3 linked regions of the Saccharomyces cerevisiae S288C genome follow. The main gene of each other region encodes a partner of the protein of the gene in region 2 in a complex. Each region holds a gene or a part of one and is shown on either strand. Other genes may lie near its edges. A codon is read from its position in the direction of its gene.

What was found.
Region 1: RPC10 (region 2) and RPC53 share a complex: the UniProt entries of both Saccharomyces cerevisiae proteins name them as parts of the RNA polymerase III (Pol III) complex.
Region 3: the proteins of RPC10 (region 2) and RPB3 are in contact, whole or in part, in a crystal structure (PDB 3QT1), measured with the Saccharomyces cerevisiae proteins. Residues at the interface, in NP_012013.1 of Saccharomyces cerevisiae: Arg60 (codon at 3,381), Leu64 (codon at 3,393), Val65 (codon at 3,396), Gln66 (codon at 3,399), Phe67 (codon at 3,402), Glu68 (codon at 3,405), Ala69 (codon at 3,408), Arg70 (codon at 3,411); in NP_012243.3 of Saccharomyces cerevisiae: Ile46 (codon at 1,827), Asp47 (codon at 1,830), Ser48 (codon at 1,833), Val49 (codon at 1,836), Glu50 (codon at 1,839), Val51 (codon at 1,842), Glu52 (codon at 1,845), Asn54 (codon at 1,851), Asp60 (codon at 1,869), Glu61 (codon at 1,872), Ala64 (codon at 1,881), His65 (codon at 1,884), Gly68 (codon at 1,893), Glu166 (codon at 2,187), His167 (codon at 2,190), Lys169 (codon at 2,196), Trp170 (codon at 2,199).

The regions. Positions count from the first base shown.
Region 1 is NC_001136.10:181,380-186,588, forward strand, and holds RPC53 (DNA-directed RNA polymerase III subunit C53), read left to right. Parts: upstream 1-1,963; coding exon 1,964-3,232; downstream 3,233-5,209. Other genes in the region: rRNA-processing protein SAS10, read right to left, coding at 1-1,639; autophagy protein ATG9, read left to right, coding at 3,546-5,209. UniProt on the Saccharomyces cerevisiae protein: DNA-dependent RNA polymerase catalyzes the transcription of DNA into RNA using the four ribonucleoside triphosphates as substrates. Specific peripheric component of RNA polymerase III which synthesizes small RNAs, such as 5S rRNA and tRNAs.
Region 2 is NC_001140.6:384,030-389,277, forward strand, and holds RPC10 (DNA-directed RNA polymerase core subunit RPC10), read left to right. Parts: upstream 1-3,203; coding exon 3,204-3,416; downstream 3,417-5,248. Other genes in the region: CHS7 (Chs7p), read left to right, coding at 1-459; DSE2 (Dse2p), read left to right, coding at 1,481-2,458; DCD1 (deoxycytidine monophosphate deaminase), read right to left, coding at 3,759-4,697. UniProt on the Saccharomyces cerevisiae protein: DNA-dependent RNA polymerases catalyze the transcription of DNA into RNA using the four ribonucleoside triphosphates as substrates.
Region 3 is NC_001141.2:311,214-315,838, forward strand, and holds RPB3 (DNA-directed RNA polymerase II core subunit RPB3), read left to right. Parts: upstream 1-1,691; coding exon 1,692-2,648; downstream 2,649-4,625. Other genes in the region: protein translocase subunit TIM44, read left to right, coding at 1-1,247; 1-(5-phosphoribosyl)-5- ((5-phosphoribosylamino)methylideneamino)imidazole-4-carboxamide isomerase HIS6, read right to left, coding at 2,822-3,607; FAF1 (Faf1p), read left to right, coding at 3,880-4,625. UniProt on the Saccharomyces cerevisiae protein: DNA-dependent RNA polymerase catalyzes the transcription of DNA into RNA using the four ribonucleoside triphosphates as substrates. Component of RNA polymerase II which synthesizes mRNA precursors and many functional non-coding RNAs.

The DNA.
Region 1 (5,209 bases), on a different chromosome or scaffold from region 2:
TCTTTAAAATTTGATAATTAATGGCACGCTTACCATCACCTGAGACATTTTCAGCCAATTCCGCCAATTTTCCTTCCCTTGCAGCAATAACAGCATTCTTATGAGCCTCTTTACGAGATATTTTCTTGTCTTGTTTACCTCTCTGAACCTGTTGATAATAATCGTTCTCGCCTTGAGTGTTGATGCTCCTAGACACAGCTTCATCTTCAGAACCGTAATCCTTATCGTCTAGGTCAGCACCATTATTATCATGCATACCACGTTTACGAGCTTCATCCAACAGACGTTGCTGCCTTTCAAATAAACGTTCCTTATATGGAATATCATCATCACCTTTGAATCTATCCGTCTTTTTATTTTCTTGTTGATCAATTTTCGAAGTATAGAAACGCAAAGTTCTTCTACGAGCTTTTTTGTCTTGTGCGTCCACATCAGCAATCTCAGATTCAATGAAATCATCAGCTTCAGGCATTGATGATGTTTTCGGTTTAGAATGCAGACGTGATTGTGCTACGTACTCTTCAAAATCGTCAATATCAACATCTTCTTCTTCTTCTTCTTCATCGCTTTCTCTTTCTTCTTCATCAATTTCTTGCTTTTGTTTTCCTCCATCCTCTGCATCAGAATCTTCACTGTTTTGCAACTCATTCAGCTTCTTTTCGTTAAAGGCCTCAATGTTTGCGGTTTCTTCACTTTCAGAACCATCTCCTTCATTCACATCAAAACTAGATGGCAATTCGCTGGCTTGCCTCCAAATCTCTTTTGTCGTTAAAATCTTTTCCATGACCGGATGTCCCTTCATAGATGTGAAATCTTCATTATTATGGAGTTCGTGCAACAAGATACTATAGTAACATGATATTGTGCCTAGGTAACTTCCAAGTGCAATTAGCTTTAATTTATTGAACTCATTTTCCTCAGATTTCTTTAATTCGTCAAACTTTGGAGCTAATTCTGTGAATTCTTTTGAAAGTGGAGCAAATTCAGGAAACATTGTCCTTAAATAGTTATCCCTTGCTTCGTCATCCATATTTAGAATATCCGTTATGGAAGTTTTAGTATCAGCCTGCTTGGTCGAGTTCTTAAATTCACCCATGTCAAATTCTTTGGCACTTTTGACCCACTCTTCTTCTTCTTCTTCATCTAAGTAATCGTTCATATTAAGTTCTTCCAGATGCTTCTTTTGTTGTCGTAAAGCTTCCTTTTCTATTTCCTTAGCAGCTTCGTCATCATCTAAATCATCAGCCCCATAATATTCTCCTTTTGTGGACCCCCAGGCATTCTCGTTGTCTAACATACCATTCTCTTCATCTTCCTCAGGAAGCTGGTCAGTTTCTAAGTTTCTACCAAATATTTTCTTATAGGCTGCAGCACCATCTAGTTCCTCTTCCTCTTCTTCTTCCTCATCTTCTCTTTCATCTATTGACTCATCATCTTCATCCATGGCTAAGACTTCTTCCTCATCTTCGTCTTCTAACAGAGAATGGTCATCATCTTTATTACTGTCGCCAAAGGTGGATTGTCCAAGTAAAACCTTTTCCCTTTTAGAAGCAAAATCATCAACTTCGTTTAAACCATACGGATTAATCTCATCCCCAACTTCAGAGGTCTTAGTTCTGTTTGAGCCTTTGCGTACCATATTATTCTATACACCCACTCTAATATGTTTTCTCTTCCTCCAAAACTTTTTGTATAAAAGCATCAGTGAGATGAGCTATGATGAGATGAGCTTCATTATTGAATTTTTTTTCATTGCAGAAGCGCAGTTTGAAAATTTTTCATCCGCCCTGCAAAGTCCAATTTTTTGATCAGCAGAAGATAATGACCAGAGAATTATGGTATTCAAGAGAACAATTCAAAAGAGGACAGCTAGAAAGATATTGAGGTATTTATAATTTGCTAGACTAACCGAAAGTCGAAGCGTAATCTTGTTTTTTATTAAGCGGGATAGCATTCATTAAGTATGAGCAGTAATAAAGGAAATGGGCGCTTGCCATCATTAAAAGATTCCTCCTCCAATGGAGGAGGATCTGCCAAGCCCTCATTAAAGTTTAAACCAAAAGCAGTTGCAAGAAAGTCCAAGGAAGAAAGAGAAGCAGCTGCGTCCAAAGTAAAGCTAGAGGAGGAATCTAAGAGAGGTAATGACAAGAAACATTTCAATAACAAGAATAAAAGAGTAACCGGCGCTGGCGGCCAGCAAAGGCGAATGGCCAAATACTTAAATAACACACACGTTATCTCTAGCGGTCCATTGGCGGCTGGGAACTTTGTAAGTGAGAAGGGTGATTTGAGAAGAGGATTCATCAAATCAGAAGGAAGCGGGTCATCTCTTGTGCAAAAGGGCCTGGAAACTATTGACAATGGTGCTGAGAGCTCTGAGAATGAGGCAGAAGACGATGATAATGAAGGTGTAGCGTCCAAATCTAAGAAGAAGTTCAATATGGGAAAAGAATTCGAGGCACGCAATCTCATAGAGGACGAAGATGACGGCGAAAGTGAAAAGAGCAGTGACGTCGACATGGATGACGAAGAATGGAGATCTAAACGGATTGAACAGTTATTCCCTGTGAGACCTGTCCGCGTAAGACACGAAGACGTTGAAACTGTCAAAAGAGAAATACAAGAAGCTCTTTCAGAAAAGCCAACTCGTGAACCAACCCCCAGTGTGAAGACAGAGCCTGTCGGAACCGGATTACAATCTTATTTGGAAGAAAGAGAAAGGCAAGTCAATGAGAAACTGGCAGATCTTGGACTTGAAAAGGAGTTTCAATCGGTTGATGGGAAAGAAGCGGCCGCTGAGTTGGAATTATTAAATGCAGATCATCAGCATATATTACGAAAACTAAAGAAAATGAATAATAAACCAGAAAGATTCATGGTATTCCAGTTACCTACTAGGTTACCAGCTTTTGAAAGACCCGCTGTGAAAGAAGAAAAAGAAGACATGGAAACCCAGGCTAGCGACCCTTCAAAGAAGAAGAAGAATATTAAAAAGAAGGACACGAAGGATGCTTTGTCTACTAGAGAACTTGCCGGCAAGGTTGGGTCTATACGGGTTCACAAATCTGGAAAACTTTCCGTGAAAATTGGAAATGTGGTGATGGATATTGGCAAAGGTGCCGAAACCACATTTTTACAAGATGTTATAGCATTAAGTATCGCTGATGATGCATCCTCAGCGGAACTTCTAGGCCGTGTGGACGGTAAAATAGTAGTCACACCTCAAATCTAATCGCACTCGCATCTGTCGAGTATATAAATGAATATACACAGTCATAAATACTTCTAGAACAAATTACACTAATTAAGATGCTTAGATTCCCATTCAAAAGGTACTATTGACGTCTTGTCTTCTACAATTTCTCATCCTCTTTGAACATTGGTAATGTTATTCTAGTTATTGTTACCCAGTTTCGGAACTTTAGGGGAGCCACACTTTAAACAAAAAGAAGCGCCATAACCACCGTGAAGTAATGAGTATCTCACTTTGATAAGAAGACATTTAAGAACAGCCTGAAATATCAAAATCACGGAATTATTAGGTTATGGAGAGAGATGAATACCAGTTACCCAACTCTCATGGGAAGAATACTTTCTTATCGCGAATATTTGGTTTACAATCGGATGAAGTTAATCCTTCTCTTAATAGCCAGGAGATGAGCAACTTCCCTTTACCAGACATAGAGAGAGGCTCATCTTTATTGCATTCTACTAACGACAGCCGCGAAGATGTAGATGAGAATGACTTACGTGTTCCTGAGTCTGACCAAGGCACTAGTACAGAAGAAGAGGATGAAGTAGATGAAGAGCAAGTCCAGGCGTATGCTCCACAGATTAGTGATGGATTGGATGGAGACCACCAGCTAAATTCTGTAACGAGCAAAGAAAATGTACTTGAAACGGAAAAAAGCAATTTAGAAAGACTGGTTGAAGGCTCTACCGATGATTCTGTGCCCAAAGTCGGACAGCTTTCGTCAGAAGAAGAAGAGGATAATGAGTTCATAAATAATGATGGATTTGATGACGATACGCCCCTTTTTCAAAAAAGCAAGATTCATGAATTTAGCTCTAAGAAAAGCAATACTATAGAGGACGGTAAACGACCTTTGTTTTTCAGGCATATCTTACAGAATAACCGCCCTCAACGTGATACCCAAAAGCTATTTACTTCGTCGAACGCCATTCACCATGATAAGGACAAGAGTGCAAATAATGGTCCCCGTAACATTAATGGTAATCAAAAGCATGGCACTAAATACTTTGGTAGTGCTACACAACCTCGGTTTACCGGTTCGCCCTTAAATAATACAAACAGGTTCACTAAATTGTTTCCATTAAGAAAGCCAAATTTACTGAGCAATATATCCGTTTTAAACAATACCCCGGAAGATAGAATCAATACGTTGAGCGTGAAAGAGCGGGCTCTGTGGAAATGGGCAAACGTAGAAAACCTCGATATATTTCTTCAAGATGTTTACAATTATTATCTGGGAAATGGGTTCTATTGCATCATACTGGAAAAAATATTGAATATATGCACTTTGCTTTTTGTTGTTTTTGTTTCTACATATATGGGTCACTGTGTTGACTACTCCAAATTACCGACTAGTCACCGGGTTTCGGATATTATTATCGACAAGTGTTATTCTAATAGTATAACGGGGTTCACAAAGTTTTTCCTTTGGATGTTTTATTTCTTCGTGATTCTCAAAATTGTTCAACTCTACTTTGATGTTCAAAAATTATCAGAATTACAAAACTTTTACAAGTATCTTTTAAATATATCGGATGACGAACTTCAAACTTTGCCCTGGCAAAATGTGATACAGCAGCTAATGTACTTGAAGGATCAAAACGCTATGACGGCAAATGTTGTGGAAGTCAAAGCCAAGAATAGAATCGACGCGCATGACGTTGCCAATAGAATCATGAGAAGAGAAAACTATCTCATAGCACTTTACAATAGCGACATCCTGAATTTATCCTTGCCTATTCCATTATTTAGGACCAACGTTCTGACAAAAACACTAGAATGGAATATTAATTTATGCGTCATGGGCTTTGTGTTCAACGAGTCCGGATTTATTAAACAAAGTATTTTAAAACCTTCTCAAAGAGAATTCACGAGAGAAGAATTACAAAAAAGATTCATGCTGGCAGGATTTCTTAATATTATATTGGCACCATTTCTGGTCACATACTTTGTTTT
Region 2 (5,248 bases):
CTGTTGGTCCGTGGAACGTCCATGCTAGGATTCATAGCCAATTTTTTAGCCTCTATTTTAACCTTCAAAGCATGGATCACCGACCATAAAGTAGCAACAATGAACGCTTCAGGGATGATTGTCGTCGTTTACATAATAAACGCCATTTTCTTATTCGTTTTCGTTATTTGTCAATTACTGGTATCCCTATTGGTAGTTCGAAACTTATGGGTCACAGGAGCTATCTTTTTGGGGCTATTTTTCTTTGTAGCAGGCCAGGTATTGGTTTATGCCTTCTCTACACAAATTTGTGAAGGGTTCAAGCACTACTTAGATGGCCTCTTTTTTGGAAGCATCTGTAATGTGTTCACATTAATGATGGTTTACAAGACTTGGGATATGACTACCGACGACGACTTGGAATTTGGTGTAAGTGTTAGCAAGGACGGTGACGTGGTGTATGATAATGGATTTATGTGAAATGCTTCTTTTTTCTATTACCATATATAGAAAATAGGTGTATACTATTAGTTTAATGTAATAAGCAGGACTATGACAAACCAAAGAGTGAAAGTAGCCGTTTCCACGTTTTAACGGCTTGTGTACACTTTGACAGTCAATCAGCGTAGTGACTTCTTTTATCAGCGGAAACAACCATATCCATAAAAGAAACGTGATGGTCGTTCCCGTAGTTTATTAAGTAAGATGACAAATTATCCTTCTTTAGTCAATTGAAAACAAAACTTCTTAATCTGTTTCCAATGTTTTAAAGTCGCTCATATGTTCATGACTACTTTTCCATGAGAGGGTTCTACGAAAAGCATCATCTTATTTTCGCAACGCTGCGGGTTTAGGCCTTTCCGCTGGTCTCTTTTCTGTTTACAGTTCTGCCCGAATGTAAACAAATACTTTGCGAAAAGTAAATAATGTATTCTGAAAAAAAAAAAGAGAACTGTGAACAATGCTTGATAGTTGTAGGAATATCTTAGAAGAAAGGGGATAGATTATCTGGAAAATCGTTTGAATAAAATAAGAACCAGTAATTCATTCGTTTAAATTGGAAAAACAAAACATAAAAGAACCAGCAATGTCTTGGTTGCCTGTTAATGTAAAAAGTTCTCCCAAAAGATGACAGGAAACTCGTTAACTCATACTCGGTATATAAGAGGAAACTTATCTAATGTTTCATTCATTCTTCCTCTTCTGCTTATTCGATGTCTATTGAAAAACTTCAAGTAAACCAGCAATATCGACTTCCATTAAGTAGACAGCGAGCCTGAAACAAAGAATATACTGTTTCAATTCCAACTAAAGCCACTCCCTCAAGCGTTATTATTTTTTGAATTATATTTTCGGGTTTTAAGCTAACTCTAGTCATTCCTTACTACATTTTATTGTAACTCTTCAGTAGAGCTAACCACAGTCATTCCTTAATATTTTTTAACACAGATCTCTTTCACAGAGTAGAAATAAAGCCACTCCTTTAACAAATTACAAAGAAATGAAATTTAATTTTTCTACAATTTTCAATATCTTATTCTTTTTATTCACCTTAATTGAAGCCAACAGCAATGGGGAAACAGTCAAACTTATTACTTCTGATGGTATTGTTTACAGTTATGCTGTCTACACAAAGACTCTTGCGCCGGCAAGGGTTGTGGTTAAAACGATTTCATATACTACTACAAGGGTATATCCGATTACTTTAGCTAATTCCGTCGTTTCTTCCACTACTGAAAAGATAACAGAGGTTTCAACGGTGTCAGCTTCAGAACAAGTTAGTGCTACTCAAACAAACTCATTGGTTTCTACTTCTACTGTTTCCACTATCAGTCCAACGATTTCATCTGGTTCTTCAACATCCTCTAGCTCTACATACGATATCGAATCATCTCAAAGTATCGAATCGTCAGGTACATCTTCCGCTACAGCCGAACCATCTGCGTCTTCAGGTTTTCGTTTGACTTCTAGTTCTGCTTTTGTTTCATCTACTGCACCTTTCTCTTCCCAACTTTCTTCATCTTCATCTTCTGAAACATCATCCTCATCATTTTCAACATCATCATCATCTGCCCCTCTTTCCTTAACTTCTTCTTCTTCTTCTTCTTCTTCTTTCGCCACTATTATTACCTTGGCACCATCGAGCTCAAAAAGCGGAAACTCTCAACTAACTTTGGCGTCATCGTCTTCCACTTCCGCAGTTGAGTCATCCCAAACAGGGTCCACTATAGCAAGAACTACCTCTACACTGGTACCCTCTTCTAGCGTAGATACAACGTCTAGAGCAACGACATCCATGCCATTAGAATCGTCTTCTACGCAATCGATATCCGTCTCCAGCTCGGATGGCACTTGTTACGTTTTTTATGATGATGATGACTACTATAGTACTGTCTACTTAACTAACCCGTCTCAATCCGTTGATGCCGCCACCACTATAACTAGTACAAACACAATTTATGCTACGGTTACCATTTAGCGCTTAGGCATAATGGTGGTGCATTCTTTTCTATTTGTTTTCTCAGGCGTATTTTTTCCATTATTTTTTGTTAAAAATAGTAAAAAGACAGTATTATTTATTCATTTTTCCTCGTGTTGTTATAACGACTAAGTTTCCTAATTTCTTTATTTTGTTTTTTTCTCATGATCTTTTCATTTTGTAGTTTCAACTATTATATACAATGTGTATACTATAACTTAATTTTATTAGTTACCTCTTACTAAGGATACTGATTCTTCCCCACTCATTTCATGAATTCATCACAAGTCTTTAGTATTTTTCATATGGAAATTACATCACCTATATATATCAAAATGTTCCGGCGAGTACATTGTCAGAATCTACAGTTTTTCCTGATATGAGCAGTGATATGGAGAAAGAGACACTAAATAAGAACAAAATATTGCCGTAGATTTAATGATTCAATCATGTGTGTCAAATTTGTTCTCCATTGCATCTTCCTATTTGACATTTGTCTCATGACCACGACATTGTACATTACCAGGTAAGGCTACAATTAGCCTCACCGATGTAACGTTATATAACGCTGCGGTCGTAGAATATGATTTTTCTGAATTTTAATTTTTTTTTTTTTTTTTTTCATTTCTTTAACATCTAAAATAGATTTTAGAATCAGAAAAGTGAAGAGTATTCCACATCATCGACTTATTCTACCAACATTTAATAAGAACGTACCCAAGAATAAAAGTCCACAAGTATAACAATGTCTCGCGAAGGGTTCCAGATTCCAACAAATTTAGACGCCGCAGCTGCAGGTACTTCTCAAGCTAGAACGGCAACTTTGAAGTATATTTGTGCTGAATGTTCTAGTAAATTATCTTTATCCAGAACTGATGCAGTCCGTTGTAAGGACTGTGGTCATAGAATCCTGTTGAAGGCTAGGACTAAGAGATTGGTTCAATTTGAAGCTAGATGAATGGAGAGACTGAAAACCATAATGGGTTACCGGGGCAGAATAATACGAAATAAAGAACCTAGGTTTTCCAAGGTTTTTGCAATATATAAACTTGTGCTTGATTTAAGTTTATGCAGCACTTTTCTTCCAGCAAATTCTTTATGTTTTTTTAAGGGAAAACGTATATCACTTAGAGATTATATTAATGAAAAAAGGTGTATACAAATGTATAATAATAATAGTATATAAGAAAAGTATTCGCTATTTATAGTGATTTTAGTTTGTACAATGTACTGTATTTTTTTTAAATGTAGTATTTTATATATATGTTACATTAGTTCGAACTGAAAAGGAACTTATGAATTAAATCATCACAATTCTTGGTTCTTCCGTAAAGCTGAATTGCCGGACGGTTATTCCCGCATTCTTCAAGACCTTGAAACTTTCCTCGTCCATTCTATAACTTTGGCTATAAACTACTTCACTGATGCCTGTTTGAACAATCTTTACAGAACATGTTAAGCAAGGGCAAGTATCACAGTATAAGGTCGCATTTTGACCTACACGATCCCTGCCAGCTTCCAGTAGTGCATTCTCTTCTGCATGTAAGCATAAGCAAGTGTGCAGATTTCTAGAATCACCGTCATTGCAACGTGGGCAACCGCCATTGAAACAATTTGTTAAATGTCGAGGAGTCCCATTATAGCCAGTAGCAATCACTCTGCATTCTCTCACAATCACGCAACCAACTCTACGTTTCATGCAATTGGAACGAGATGCTGCTAGTGTGGCTAACTTCATAAAATAGCTATCCCAACTAGGCCTCATTAATGGAGCCATTTGTTTCTCTTTGTCATCGAGAATCTTTAATTGTGTGGTAATGTTATTAATCAAGCTCTGTCTCCTTCCTCTGCGGTCCTCATTAACTATTTTAAATCTCAAATGGGATTTCTCCCTTAATTTGATGCCTTCAGGCTGAAAGTCATGTTGATCAATGGCTTGTATTATTTGTTCTAATGATAAGCTTTCTGCTTGAGTCGTTTTCCTGTATAATGCTACCCTTGTAGTGACAGGAGCGTCGATAGAAAGATGAACAAAAAATGGTCTCTTTTCCAGTTTCTCCAGTAATGATAATTTTTCTAGGAATATAACTGAATTTTTTGTGTAATTTTTCGTAGCATAATCTAATATCTCCTCTGGATTATCTAGGTGATTGAGTAATTCAAAATGAAAATGATCAACCAACATGTTAATAACATCTTCGCATCCGCAAAATTTCGTACCACTTACACCAATTAACATAATCGTGTTATATTGATTAGTGTAGCATTCACACCTTTAATGTGCCAAAAAAAGATGTTGAATTCTATGGTAATGCAGAAGTTTCAATTCTCGAGATTGCCTACATCATCTCATAACTGCGTACCGCGCGTTCTTGCAAAGAACAAAAAAGTGAAAAAATTATAATGGGGCGAGCTGGGAATTGAACCCAGGGCCTCTCGCATGCTTTGTCTTCCTGTTTAGGCAGGAAGTCGCCCAAAGCGAGAATCATACCACTAGACCACACGCCCATGTATCTGTTGGTGTTCTAAATAAAGAATTAAACTATGTAGGCATAAAAAGAGACGGGAGCATCTTAAAGATGCAACTGGATGGAGAATGGCAAAATATGAAGAAGAAGGAAGGAAAAGAAATATTATTATGCGTAACTGTTGATTCCTTTTTGTGGATTTCTTGAGGAGAATGTCTTTTTGAAGAGTGGGTGAATTTTGAGATAATTGTTGGGATTCCATTTTTAATAAGGCAATAATATTAGGTATGTAGAATGTACTAGAAGTTCTCCTCGAGGATTT
Region 3 (4,625 bases), on a different chromosome or scaffold from region 2:
TAACCGCAAGGTACAGATCGCAGTACACAGGATTACTCGTTGCCCGAGTATTATTCTCCACCTCTACGACCCGTGCGCAAGGTGGAAACCCTCGATCACCACTCCAGATTTTCCGCGATACATTCAAGAAGGAATGGGAGAAGTCTCAGGAACTGCAGGAGAACATAAAGACGCTGCAAGATGCTTCGGGAAAGTTAGGCGAGTCTGAGGCCTACAAAAAGGCTAGGGAAGCATATTTGAAAGCTCAGAGAGGCTCCACAATTGTGGGTAAAACTCTGAAAAAGACCGGTGAGACCATGGAACATATAGCCACTAAGGCCTGGGAGTCCGAACTCGGTAAGAACACAAGAAAGGCGGCTGCCGCCACGGCGAAGAAGCTGGATGAGAGTTTTGAGCCAGTGAGACAGACGAAGATTTACAAGGAAGTCTCAGAAGTCATTGACGATGGGGAGAGTTCCCGATACGGTGGGTTTATCACGAAAGAGCAAAGGAGACTTAAACGTGAGAGAGACCTGGCCTCTGGGAAAAGACACAGGGCAGTAAAGAGCAATGAAGATGCAGGAACAGCAGTGGTTGCGACAAATATCGAGTCTAAAGAATCGTTTGGTAAGAAAGTGGAGGATTTCAAGGAGAAAACCGTGGTTGGCCGTTCTATACAATCTTTAAAGAACAAATTGTGGGATGAAAGTGAAAACCCCTTAATTGTTGTCATGAGGAAAATAACCAACAAAGTGGGCGGTTTCTTTGCAGAAACAGAATCCTCCCGTGTTTACAGTCAATTTAAGCTAATGGACCCAACCTTTTCGAACGAAAGCTTCACCAGACACTTAAGAGAATACATTGTTCCCGAGATTCTCGAAGCGTATGTGAAAGGCGATGTCAAAGTTCTCAAAAAATGGTTCAGCGAGGCGCCATTCAATGTTTACGCCGCCCAACAGAAAATCTTCAAAGAACAGGATGTTTACGCCGATGGCCGTATCCTAGATATCAGGGGCGTTGAAATAGTGAGTGCAAAGTTATTGGCTCCCCAAGACATCCCAGTCTTGGTGGTCGGGTGTAGAGCACAAGAAATCAACCTTTACAGGAAAAAGAAAACTGGCGAGATTGCGGCTGGTGACGAAGCTAATATCTTGATGAGCTCTTATGCCATGGTTTTCACCAGAGACCCAGAGCAAATCGACGATGACGAAACAGAAGGGTGGAAGATCTTGGAGTTTGTGCGCGGGGGTTCTAGACAATTCACCTGATTGGTTTCGATGTACTCTTTTGTTTTCTTTTCCTTTTCCTTCCTATTCCGCTTGTAAATAACTCCGTTATGTCTCACCTTCGATCCCCACTTTTTCTTTTGGAATACTGCATCAAATAGGAAGAGAGAAAAAAGGAAATCATATCCCAATATATTTGAACATACGACACGATATACCTTATATAGTATCATCTGTACTAATAGTACTATAACTAATACTTCTTGACGGACAAGCTTCGCAACTCGTTCGCAATGACCAAGTTTGGCTTTCGGGAAGCAAAGTGGAAAAAAATGAAAAATAAACTAATTGAAGTGGTAAAAAATAAGCTGTGTGTGTGCATATACATCGTAAGTGCGTTGGCTGTTCTGTGGAAAAGGGAGACACTTTTTATATCAGGTGCAAAGGCTTCGTACCAGCGTTGAAAAACTAAAACAATATTGAAAAATGAGTGAAGAAGGTCCTCAAGTTAAAATAAGAGAAGCTAGTAAAGATAACGTCGACTTTATACTATCCAATGTGGATTTGGCTATGGCCAATTCTCTCCGTAGAGTCATGATAGCAGAGATTCCCACTTTAGCCATTGATTCAGTCGAAGTCGAAACAAATACTACGGTTTTGGCCGATGAATTTATTGCACACAGATTAGGTTTAATACCTCTACAAAGTATGGATATCGAACAACTAGAATACAGTCGTGATTGTTTTTGTGAGGACCACTGTGATAAGTGTTCAGTGGTGTTAACATTGCAAGCGTTCGGCGAAAGCGAAAGTACTACAAACGTCTACAGCAAGGACTTGGTAATTGTGTCTAATCTCATGGGCCGTAATATTGGGCATCCTATTATACAAGATAAAGAAGGTAACGGTGTTCTTATTTGTAAATTGAGAAAAGGTCAAGAATTGAAACTGACATGCGTTGCGAAAAAGGGTATAGCCAAAGAGCACGCCAAGTGGGGTCCAGCAGCAGCCATAGAGTTCGAGTATGATCCTTGGAATAAGCTCAAACATACCGATTACTGGTATGAACAGGATTCTGCCAAAGAATGGCCTCAGTCTAAAAATTGTGAATACGAAGATCCTCCAAACGAAGGTGACCCCTTCGATTATAAGGCTCAGGCAGATACATTTTATATGAATGTAGAATCTGTGGGGTCTATTCCCGTTGATCAAGTTGTCGTCAGAGGTATCGATACATTACAGAAAAAGGTTGCCTCAATATTGTTAGCTCTGACACAGATGGATCAAGACAAAGTTAATTTTGCATCGGGTGATAACAACACCGCTTCAAATATGCTGGGAAGTAACGAAGACGTAATGATGACGGGCGCTGAGCAAGATCCTTACTCCAATGCATCTCAAATGGGTAATACTGGATCAGGAGGGTATGATAATGCTTGGTAGTTCTCAAGTGGGCGTAATAGAGGAAAAAAAACAAGTGAACGAACCGAAAATAATAAGAGAAAAAAAGCTTTATATGCATGTATGTATCATTATGATTAGTATTATAAGTATTATAATCTAAAGTACGAAGCAAACAAAAAAGAAAAAAGAAAATGAAAAAATGAAAGGAAGGGCTAACCTTGCTTTTCATTCCATCTACAGCAGTCTTCAAACTTAACTAGGTTACCACCAAATATATCTAAGGAACTACCGAATGTCAAATCTACTTTTCCGTGACTTAGTTCGTCTACTAATTTCAAATCATCAACACTTTTGGCCCCACCAGCATAAACGATTTTCAAATCATCGTAATCTTTGGTCCATTCGAAAAGCTTAGAAACCAATAATTCATCGATACCACCACACAAACCTTCAACGTCTGCAGCGTGAATTAGAAACTCATTTGTATATTTCCTCAATTCTCTGAAAGTGTCAGCATTAAGCTCAAGATCAGTTAGAGTTTGCCATTTGTTCATGGCCACAATCCAACGACCGTCCTGGGTTTTTCTACAGCTTAAGTCTACAACAATGCGGTCTTTCCCACATAGTTCTGTCAGTCTTTCTAACCTTTTTAATTGAAAATGACCCTCTTTTGTAAATAGCCAACTCGTAACAATTACTTTACTGGCCCATTTTAACCATTCCAAACAGTTCGTATCATTAATTCCTCCGCCCACTTGTAGAAATTGTGGTGACTCCTGGAGTGCCTCGCGTGCAGCGTCGTCATTGTTAGGTCCCAACTTAATAACATGACATCCTTGGACATCTCTGTCTTTGTAAAGTTTAGCGTAATATGAAGAAGGATGTTGTGATACAAAGTTAGTTTTTGGAACGTCCTCCTTTTTGCTCGTTAACGTTCCACCTACAATCTGTTTAACCTCTCCATTATGCAGGTCTATACAACCAATAAACTTCGTCATTTTTTTCTAGTATATACCCCCAGCCTTCTTATGCGCAGTTTCGAAGATATTGTGAATTTGCAGGCGAGGATTCTCAAATTATTCCGTATGACTCTGCACACTAGACATGGCTCAATCTTGGCAATGGACCCTGTGCTGAATTTTCGTCATTCGTCTCATGCGACCGTTCCGTTCCTAGAAAAATTTTGAGCGATGAGATGAGTATACATTAACGATGGCAGGAACAGTTATAACAATATTGAGAGTACAAATGACCCAAAAGCCATAAAAAGATGACCCTTGATGATGACGACTATATAAAACAAATGGAGCTTCAAAGAAAAGCTTTTGAAAGTCAGTTCGGATCTTTAGAGTCCATGGGGTTCGAAGATAAAACAAAAAATATACGAACTGAAGTAGATACCAGAGACAGTTCAGGTGATGAAATTGACAATTCCGATCATGGTAGTGATTTCAAGGATGGTACTATAGAAAGTTCTAATTCTTCTGATGAAGATAGCGGTAACGAAACCGCGGAAGAAAATAATCAAGATTCCAAACCGAAAACTCAACCAAAGGTCATTAGATTCAACGGGCCTAGTGACGTTTATGTTCCTCCAAGTAAGAAGACACAGAAACTTTTGAGAAGCGGCAAAACTTTAACTCAAATAAACAAAAAATTGGAGAGTACTGAAGCCAAGGAAGAAAAAGAAGATGAGACTTTGGAGGCGGAAAATTTACAAAACGACCTGGAGTTGCAGCAATTTCTGAGAGAGTCTCACTTATTGAGCGCTTTCAATAACGGTGGAAGTGGTTCTACAAACAGTGGTGTATCGTTGACTCTACAGAGTATGGGTGGTGGAAATGATGATGGCATAGTATACCAGGATGATCAAGTTATTGGGAAGGCCAGATCGCGTACACTCGAAATGAGACTGAATAGACTCTCAAGGGTGAATGGTCATCAGGACAAAATAAATAAGCTGGAAAAAGTACCCATGCATATTAGAAGAGGAATGATCGACAAGCACGTCAAGAG